2 linked regions of the Astyanax mexicanus genome follow. The protein of the gene in region 1 interacts with the protein of each later gene in a pairwise test. Links are inferred from orthologs where the notes say so. Each region holds a gene or a part of one and is shown on either strand. Other genes may lie near its edges.

Region 1 (3,925 bases):
ATGTCACTCACTCTCTGGCCACACCTTATCTCGCAGGTTGGTCTTTCCATCCCAGCTCCTCTCACTCCCAGAGTCCCTCCTGCCTCTCTCCCTTTCCCCGCAGACTGGCGCCTATGCTCGCTCTGCCGTGGTCGTGTCGCACAGCCTCGCTAAGTCTATAGTCCTATTTCAGCTACTTGGCGAGGATGTGGCTCTTTTCCTCCCTCCTCGCTCGCGCATGTATGTGTCTGAGAGAGTGTATGTGTGTGTGTAGCCTACACGCTCCCTTGTCTCTTTACGCGGTGTTATTTGAAAATGTTTGGAGCATCTTATAGCGGAATCCGCGTGGAAAAGCCTCCATAACCCCCCCTCCCTTCCTCCCTCCCCCTGCCGCCATCCTGACCTGAACACAGCTGAAACTTGTTAAACCCCAGCCCCCTTTGTAGTGGGCTGCTCCCATCATATAGTCGTCACTGTGGTATGGGTTTTAAAACTAGGCTAGACTTGTGGAATATTTAAGTCCCACCTACATAATTCGCAAAAACATCAACAAAACCTGCGAGTGTCCACGTTTACTCTTTTTTTTACTTTTACAGGGTCCCTCGCTTAATATTTAACTCTAAGTTATTTTTGTAGTAAAGGGGTTTGTGCATGTGGCACCGCTCGGGGACACATGAGGAGCCTCCTCCGTGCCCTCGCGCGGAACCTGTCCGTCCTGTTCACGCGCAACCTGATCGTTTGTTGTTGTTTTTTTTTTTTCAGCAGCGGCACAGGTTCTCGCCCTCTCCGTCTCTCTCTCTTTTCGCGCGTCCGCGTGAACTCTGCTCTGCACTTCTGTCTGTTTGGACCACGAGCTGAACGTGTGTTTCAGCTGCTCACTAGCCCTGGTCAATGTCCACTGAAGCAGCTTCTATTAAAGGTTTCTCTCCCCCTCCCCTCGCATAGCGCATGTCCAGCCCCCCACACCACACCACACCACCCCCTCCACTCCCAGCCCCCCTGAATCTCATGGCCATTGGCTTTTCGTGGTCCGTGTTCCTACGTCCACCCCCTACACACACACATACACACTGCACGCTGCTTTCATTAAACACCCCCCCCCCCCCCACCCTCTCTCACTCTCTCTCGCTCGCTCACCCTCTCTCTCTCTCGCCTCTTGTCCGGCCCCCTGATCTTTCTGTCCATTGGCTTCTCCGGGTCTATTTTTCATGTCCAGCCCCTAATGAGTGTCCATTGGTTTTGTTATTTCCACTCCCTCCTCCCACTCCCCGGCTTTGCCCTGCCCATGTTTTGTATGTCTGTGTCCATCCATCTCCTGACGTTCAAGTTCGCAGGGACGTCACGTCCGCACTTGAACTTGCAGCTCAGGGGGGCTTTTGCCATTTTTTCATCTCTCTCTCTCTCTCTTTTCAAAAAAGCCATGACGGCTATCCCACAATTCATCTTCCCCGCGCCATCTTTGTATTATTTCTAATTTATTTTGGATGTCAAAGGCATTGATGAAGATATTTTCTCTGGAGTCTCCCTTCTAACCCGGCTCTCCCGATGTGAACCGAGCTGAAAGCCACCACCAACCACCATGTCTCGCCGCAAGCAAGGCAAACCCCAGCACTTAAGCAAACGGGATTTCTCGCGTAAGTACCGCATGTGTGTCTGTGTTGTGTCGTCCTTACCCTCTCGTTTTGTCGGTCTCGGTGTGCAATGTGCAGCAAAGAGGGGGAAAACAGCAGCTACCGTGGAGCGAAGCCCGCTGAAGGCACACTGGACAGTGGACAGCGGAGACCGCGGTCAAGTGGACTTCACTGAGGAGCGTGGCGAGTCGCTGCCGCTCGTCAAGCAGCAGCACGCGCACCTTCAGCTACTGAGAAAAGTTTCTGTTTTCGTCCGCGAGCCGCCCGCTGAAATTCCTGAGAAGTTTAGGGCTCGATTTTTCAGCGTAAGCCACGTGCGTTGGCTCCCGTGCCCCCAGTCCGTGTGTTTGGCCATCTAAGACCCGGTGTAAGGTACCGGACTGTGGTAGGTAGGTGTGCAGCTCCAGCTCTGGCTCTCAGCGCTGTGTTGTGGAGTAAACCCGTAGCACTCGACTGCGAGCGATTCTGGGCAGGATTTCCCCCCTCTCGCACTATTTTTGGAAGATTTTCAAAAAGTGGAAGTGGATTTTGATTGGGAAGGGGAAAGAAATCTCGTGTCCGACTGTTTACAAACGCGGCGTGAGCGCGCGGTGCACTACTCACCGGCAGCAGCCACGGAGAGGGTCGGTCATTGTATTGGCTATTTTAGACTCACCTCTCCAACCGAACTGGGCAAAGCTTAGATACATATAATAGGTACGCTTTTAAACTTTAAGCTGAGCTCCTTTCTCACAAAAAGCGTGATTCCTCCAGTGCTCGAGCTGATGTTGAGACTTAGCCTTATTCGTCAGGAGCAACAGGAACGCGAATGGGTCATCTACCAGTGCTTTTTCTTCCTCGTATATTTAATGTGTGTAATTTATATTTCAGTTTAATTACTAAAGAACGGTGTTGACTTAAAGATACAACAGACCGTCAGTGGCATTTAAACTACTTAAACAGACATTTTATTCAGGGATTTTTTTTCTTAATTCACCCCCCGGAAAATGCTAAACATTTGTTTTGTAAGCTCTGTTTTAACGAAACCCACGAAAAGTGTCCGAACAGGGTCGTGAATATTCTCGTTGTTGAGCAAAGTCGCCCAATTTGATATTTTATAGCTCCATAATCGTGCTCGTGAATATGACAAGTAGACTATGCAAAAGCACACCGGTTTCTTCTTATTCTCCTGACTTTTCTTCAAACGACACCGAGACCCAGAAGCATTAGGCTGCCTTTTACACGATAAACATGCTTGACACAAATCCCACGTTGTTGTAACGTTGTAACGTATCGTGTAACATTATTGGGTTCCCCCCCACACACACAGGCTGTTGGGTTTCAGTGCCGTCTCCAGGTTGCACGCCAGTCTCTCTTTCACCCAGCCGTGTGTGTCGTTCGTCGCTAGGAGGCACACTACGATCAGAAACTGGAAATGAACTTGAACCTGATCGATTTTTACCGCCACCTCTGTCTACATATTTCACGATAGGGTTGGAAGAGAGAGAAACTTGTTATGCACACCTATAGCCCGTTTCACCCCCGGAACCACGTGCTTTATTTAGGTTATACTGAGTTTTGAATGAAATCTTAAAAAGTAGGTTAAGAGAAAGTAAATCTACTATGAAGATACACACTCGTAGGCTTAATATCCAAAAACTTAACAACACCGGTACTCTGACACCGATGCTGTGTTTCAGTCGTAAACACTAATAAAGTCGTGTTTTTTTTTAGCAGTTTCACATGCAATAACTTATATTAGGAAAAAACACGGCCGGAACTCAGTACATGTTAAGATTTTTTGTTTCATTCATTTTTTTCTTTATATAAGCGATCTTCACTTTTAAATAGCTTATGTTTTTTATTTCTGAATTATTCTTAGCTATAGTTCAGTAATAAGATTCTAAAATTAAAAAAAATAGCAAGTGCTAAATTGCTCACTTTTTTAAATTTGCATTTTCAGTCCGTTTTAAGTCTCTGGATCCATTTAATTTGTTTTAGTGATGTTGAAAGTCATTTTTTTATCGCTTAAACTTAAGACTGCATGATCTTTTATTTTTATTTTTGTCAATTTATTTAGTCCACTCTTTTGCAGTTGCACTGTAAGATCTGATCTTCTTTTGAAAAAATAATAACCATATTTTTGTTTTATATAAATTGCATGAATACTTGCTTTATGATTTATCACATATTTATCATTTTTAATTACTCAGTTTAAAAGACTCCCACAAGAACCCGTGGCAGCCCATATTCTGCGTTTAGAGGATTTGTTATTTGTATGTACGTCCATTTACAGCAGCCAATTGTATACACAGATTTGCATTAAATTAATCAGA
Region 2 (3,925 bases), on another chromosome or scaffold:
AACTGCAGCCAAATGATCGGTCGTTCAAAACTACTTTGGCAGCATTTAGCTGCGTCTTCTCTTCGCTCCAGATTCTGTGAACGCGTGACAAAAAGAAAAAATATTAAAAGTTCTTAAGCTTTGATTCTGCAGCAGATATATAAAGTTCTCATTTTTATGTTCATTATTTCGCCGCTGTCGTAAACCTCGTATTTTAAATGCTAACTTTACAGGAGAAGGAAAACATTCTAGTAAATATAAAAGAACATTTCAAGCAATTTTACATATAACAAATTTTCAAACGTAAAAAAAGTGAAACAAATACATAGATTTTGTATAACAACTAAAGTGTATTATGTTTAAACTGCTGTTGTCATTTGGATACTAGATTTTTAAAATTACCTTTTGGACACATACAAAATTAGCCGAAATTACTGTATCCAGTTAATGTTAAATAAAGTTAGAATGCAAAAAAGTGAAAATATCTTGGGATGATAATAATAATGTTATTTTTCGGTTTTTAGTATGATTTATGTTTGTAATGCTCTGGTTATTGTAAATTCTGCAATGATAATGAAATAATTGAAATAAATAAACGCACTTATTAAAATAACCACAAACCCCCCGAAAGGAATATAGATTAACATTTATGTATTTGTATATTAATAATAATAATAATAATAATAATAATAATAATAATAATAATAATAATAATAATAAAAATAATAATAATAATAATAATAATAATAATAATAATAATAATAATAATAATAATAATAAATGGTGTTTTCTTTATTTGATTTATCTCATTCTTCATCAGGGACTGGAGCTGAACAATGTCTATTTGCTGGAGCTGAGCTATAAATTTGAGCTCCATTTCATAACATCGCTAATTTATTGTCCTTCATTAAAAGTGAGAAATTATAGTAGAAGAAGTGGAACGGAGTGCTGCATTTGTTAGACCCCATTCTGTAATTGTTTTATCCGTGTGTTGCTTTCCGAAACCCCTCTTGCCTATGAATATGTGGCATATTTCATTACAGTAATAAGTTTAGGGCCTACCGTCTCCTGCATCAGTCTAGCGGTTGAGCCGGGGCCCCCAAACACAGTTTTAAAACTTTTAATATAAGGAAGATGATGATGATGATGACAAAAAAATTAAAATAGGGAATAGATGACGCTGATCGTGAAGTTTGTATTTGAGAGAACCTGCCGCGTCTAAGCGATTTGAGTTGATGAGGTGTTACTTTAGGGTAAAGTTTCGTTTAATATTTTTCAGTTTCACTCTCTTGGACATTTTGTAAATAGTGATGATTTTTTTGTCTTTTAAACTTAGCCAATTAGGTATTCGTTATCTTAAATAACTAATTGAAACTGACAACTCGCATCTACACTTATTTTTATTTCACTTTCTTAAATCTATGTATTTTTACACATATTTGTTCTTATAAAATTCGTTGCAGCCAGGGAAAAAATGTATCTCCTACACTGCAAATTTAAAAGAAAATGAAAAAATCATTTCAATGAAATTCATTGTAAAAATATTTTATTCCAATTCATTTGGAGAGTTTGTGCTTCATGAGATTTAGATAAAGGCCAAAGTACATTAAAACAACATCCAATAATAAAACTTTTATCCAACAATTTAAGGTGAATAAAAGAGGAAGCTTAAATATGTAAACACCTATTAATGAAGACTTTTTATATGTGGTATTTTGATAAATTATTTCGAAATGCGTATTACTGAACACGCATTCTCATTTACTTGACTGAGCTACCTGGAAAACACGCAAAATCCTTAAGAAGAAAACACATATAAACAGGCTGCTTATCATTTCAGTAAAACTTTAAAAGTAAACTTTTTAATGTAGTCATAATTAATTTAATCGGAATCGTATGTGATCTGTGACATGTCAAATTATATTAAGTTACGTTGCTGCTCCATTCTTATCCATTATCCACTCACATAAATCAATCATTCGAAAACATATGGATTTGTTTTTACATATTCAAATGTGTCAATAACAAAACCTAGTCATGAAAATGCACGTTTTAAAACAAACAATTAATTTTAATTAAAGAAGAGAAAATCGGGCATTTTAAATTATAGGTTATAGTTGCCGTTAGTAAAGTTCAGTTTAGTGTGATCCTCCACTTGCGCGCTACAGTTTACAATGTCACATAATCTCCCGGGTTGATTTAGACAGACGCGATTAAATGACAGAGATTAATAATTAATATTGAGCATCTGTAGTAAAGCGTTTCAAGGTCTCGGTACTCACTTGACTTGACGTTTAAAATATCCAAACAGCCACTTGTTGAGCTGGAACCTTTACTCATCTTGGGCTCCTCTTCCAGTTCGGCTGAGGGAAAGTCAGCAGCGGGTTTTAATCAGTTTTAGATCTTGTCGCAGCAGTCCGGGTAGGTGCCGGTGGAGATGCTGAGCGCTGCGGAGGCGGTGTGAGTGTCCAGTGTGTCTCCCCGGCGTGAGCTGCCCTGAAGCTGTATGATGTGGACCGGTCAGACCCGCAGTCCACGCGCATGCACGGGCTGGGAGGTGACCTACACACGGGATGACCCTTGGGCAGCCAAAGTTGCTGCAGTAGAGTTTGTTCTCGGTAAACGGGGCCCAGAACTCAGCGGTGAAAAAACACACTTAGATAGACCCAGCCGGTCAGTGTGAGAGGTGGAATAAATAACAGCAGGAGAGGGGAGAAAGCTCAGAGCGCAGAAATGCGGGCAGCCCCGGAGCCGCGCTGACTTTGTGATGTGCGCCGTCAGATTAAAGCCTTCGGGAATATGCATGAGAAGTATTTGAGGAGGAAGCAGGAGGTAGAGGAGGAGGAGGAGGAGAGGCCCAACTTCCCTTTTTGCCCACTTAGCTTTTTTCCCTGCCTTCTTCTACTCTAAGTTGGCGCATGACGTCACCTGCCGGGGTGGGCAGGGGTTGGAGAACGACAGACGGAGTGACGTTTCCAAAAGACTGAGAGAGTGAGAGTGAGCGACAGAGAGAGTGAGAGAGGGGGGCGGCAAAGACTAATCCACTGCTGTTTAGAGGGACTGATTAGCCAGAGTTAGCCAGGTTGTTTAACACCATTATAACGTAATTGTATAGTATATTTTATATGTTTGTATGTATCTATATAATATTTTATTCTAATTTACTGTATTTATTTTGTTGATTTTATTTCATTTGTAATACATTTTTTATTATTTATTTTTATTTTATTAATTTGCGTTTTTTATGTATTATTATTATTATTATTATTATTATTATTATTATTATTATTATTATTATTATTATTATTATTATTATTATTAATACACGCTTCCTATTTTTAATCTTAAAATAAAGTGGTTTCGAAGCTCGCGCACCTGTTGCTCCCCCCGAGCTGCATGGAATACAGCTGTGTCTGAGCCTTGCTCCTCTCTCCGCTCCGCTCCGCTCTTACTACTCTGGAGTGTCTTCTTCTAAAGACTTATTTATTCAGGACTCGTTAGTTGTACCTCGTTGACCACAATCAAACCCAACTGTAAATAAAAAAAAAACTTGCTGTTAACGGAAAATGTCCTTCGTCTTAAATGCATTAATATGCATAACAATGTCTTTATTATATATTTATTGAATCATTAGTTTTTTCTCATTGCGTCTTTCGCACTTCGTCAAAAACTGACTGCTGACATGGTGCGCGCGCTCTTACCGCTCCCTGCACTGTGCGTGTGTGCGCGCGCGTGCGCCGGGGACCCCGCAGTGCCGCACCTCCGCGCTGTAATGACGGTCATTCCCACGGTGGGCCGGGGGGTCTAGGGCTCGCGCGCTGACCGGGGCCAGCCGGTCATGGAGCCGTGGCTAATCGCGATTAGTCATTCTCATGTCTTCCTTTAAACGAGCGCTTTAAAGACGTTAGCGAGGTTTTCTGACAGGTGACTGACTGTGTGTTCACTT

Evidence for each region.
Region 2: the proteins of bcl11aa (region 1) and nr2e1 interact in a two-hybrid assay, tested with the Homo sapiens proteins (2 studies listed by BioGRID). The link is inferred for Astyanax mexicanus from reciprocal best matches to the Homo sapiens genes BCL11A and NR2E1.

Annotation. Positions count from the first base shown.
Region 1 is NC_064414.1:37,446,449-37,450,373, reverse strand, and holds the start of bcl11aa (BAF chromatin remodeling complex subunit BCL11A a), read left to right. Parts: upstream 1-1,130; 5' UTR 1,131-1,558; coding exon 1,559-1,613; intron 1,614-3,925. UniProt on the Homo sapiens protein: Transcription factor. Associated with the BAF SWI/SNF chromatin remodeling complex. Binds to the 5'-TGACCA-3' sequence motif in regulatory regions of target genes, including a distal promoter of the HBG1 hemoglobin subunit gamma-1 gene.
Region 2 is NC_064408.1:53,000,057-53,003,981, reverse strand, and holds the start of nr2e1 (nuclear receptor subfamily 2 group E member 1), read right to left. Parts: upstream 2,913-3,925; 5' UTR 2,320-2,912; coding exon 2,262-2,319; intron 1-2,261. UniProt on the Homo sapiens protein: Orphan receptor that binds DNA as a monomer to hormone response elements (HRE) containing an extended core motif half-site sequence 5'-AAGGTCA-3' in which the 5' flanking nucleotides participate in determining receptor specificity.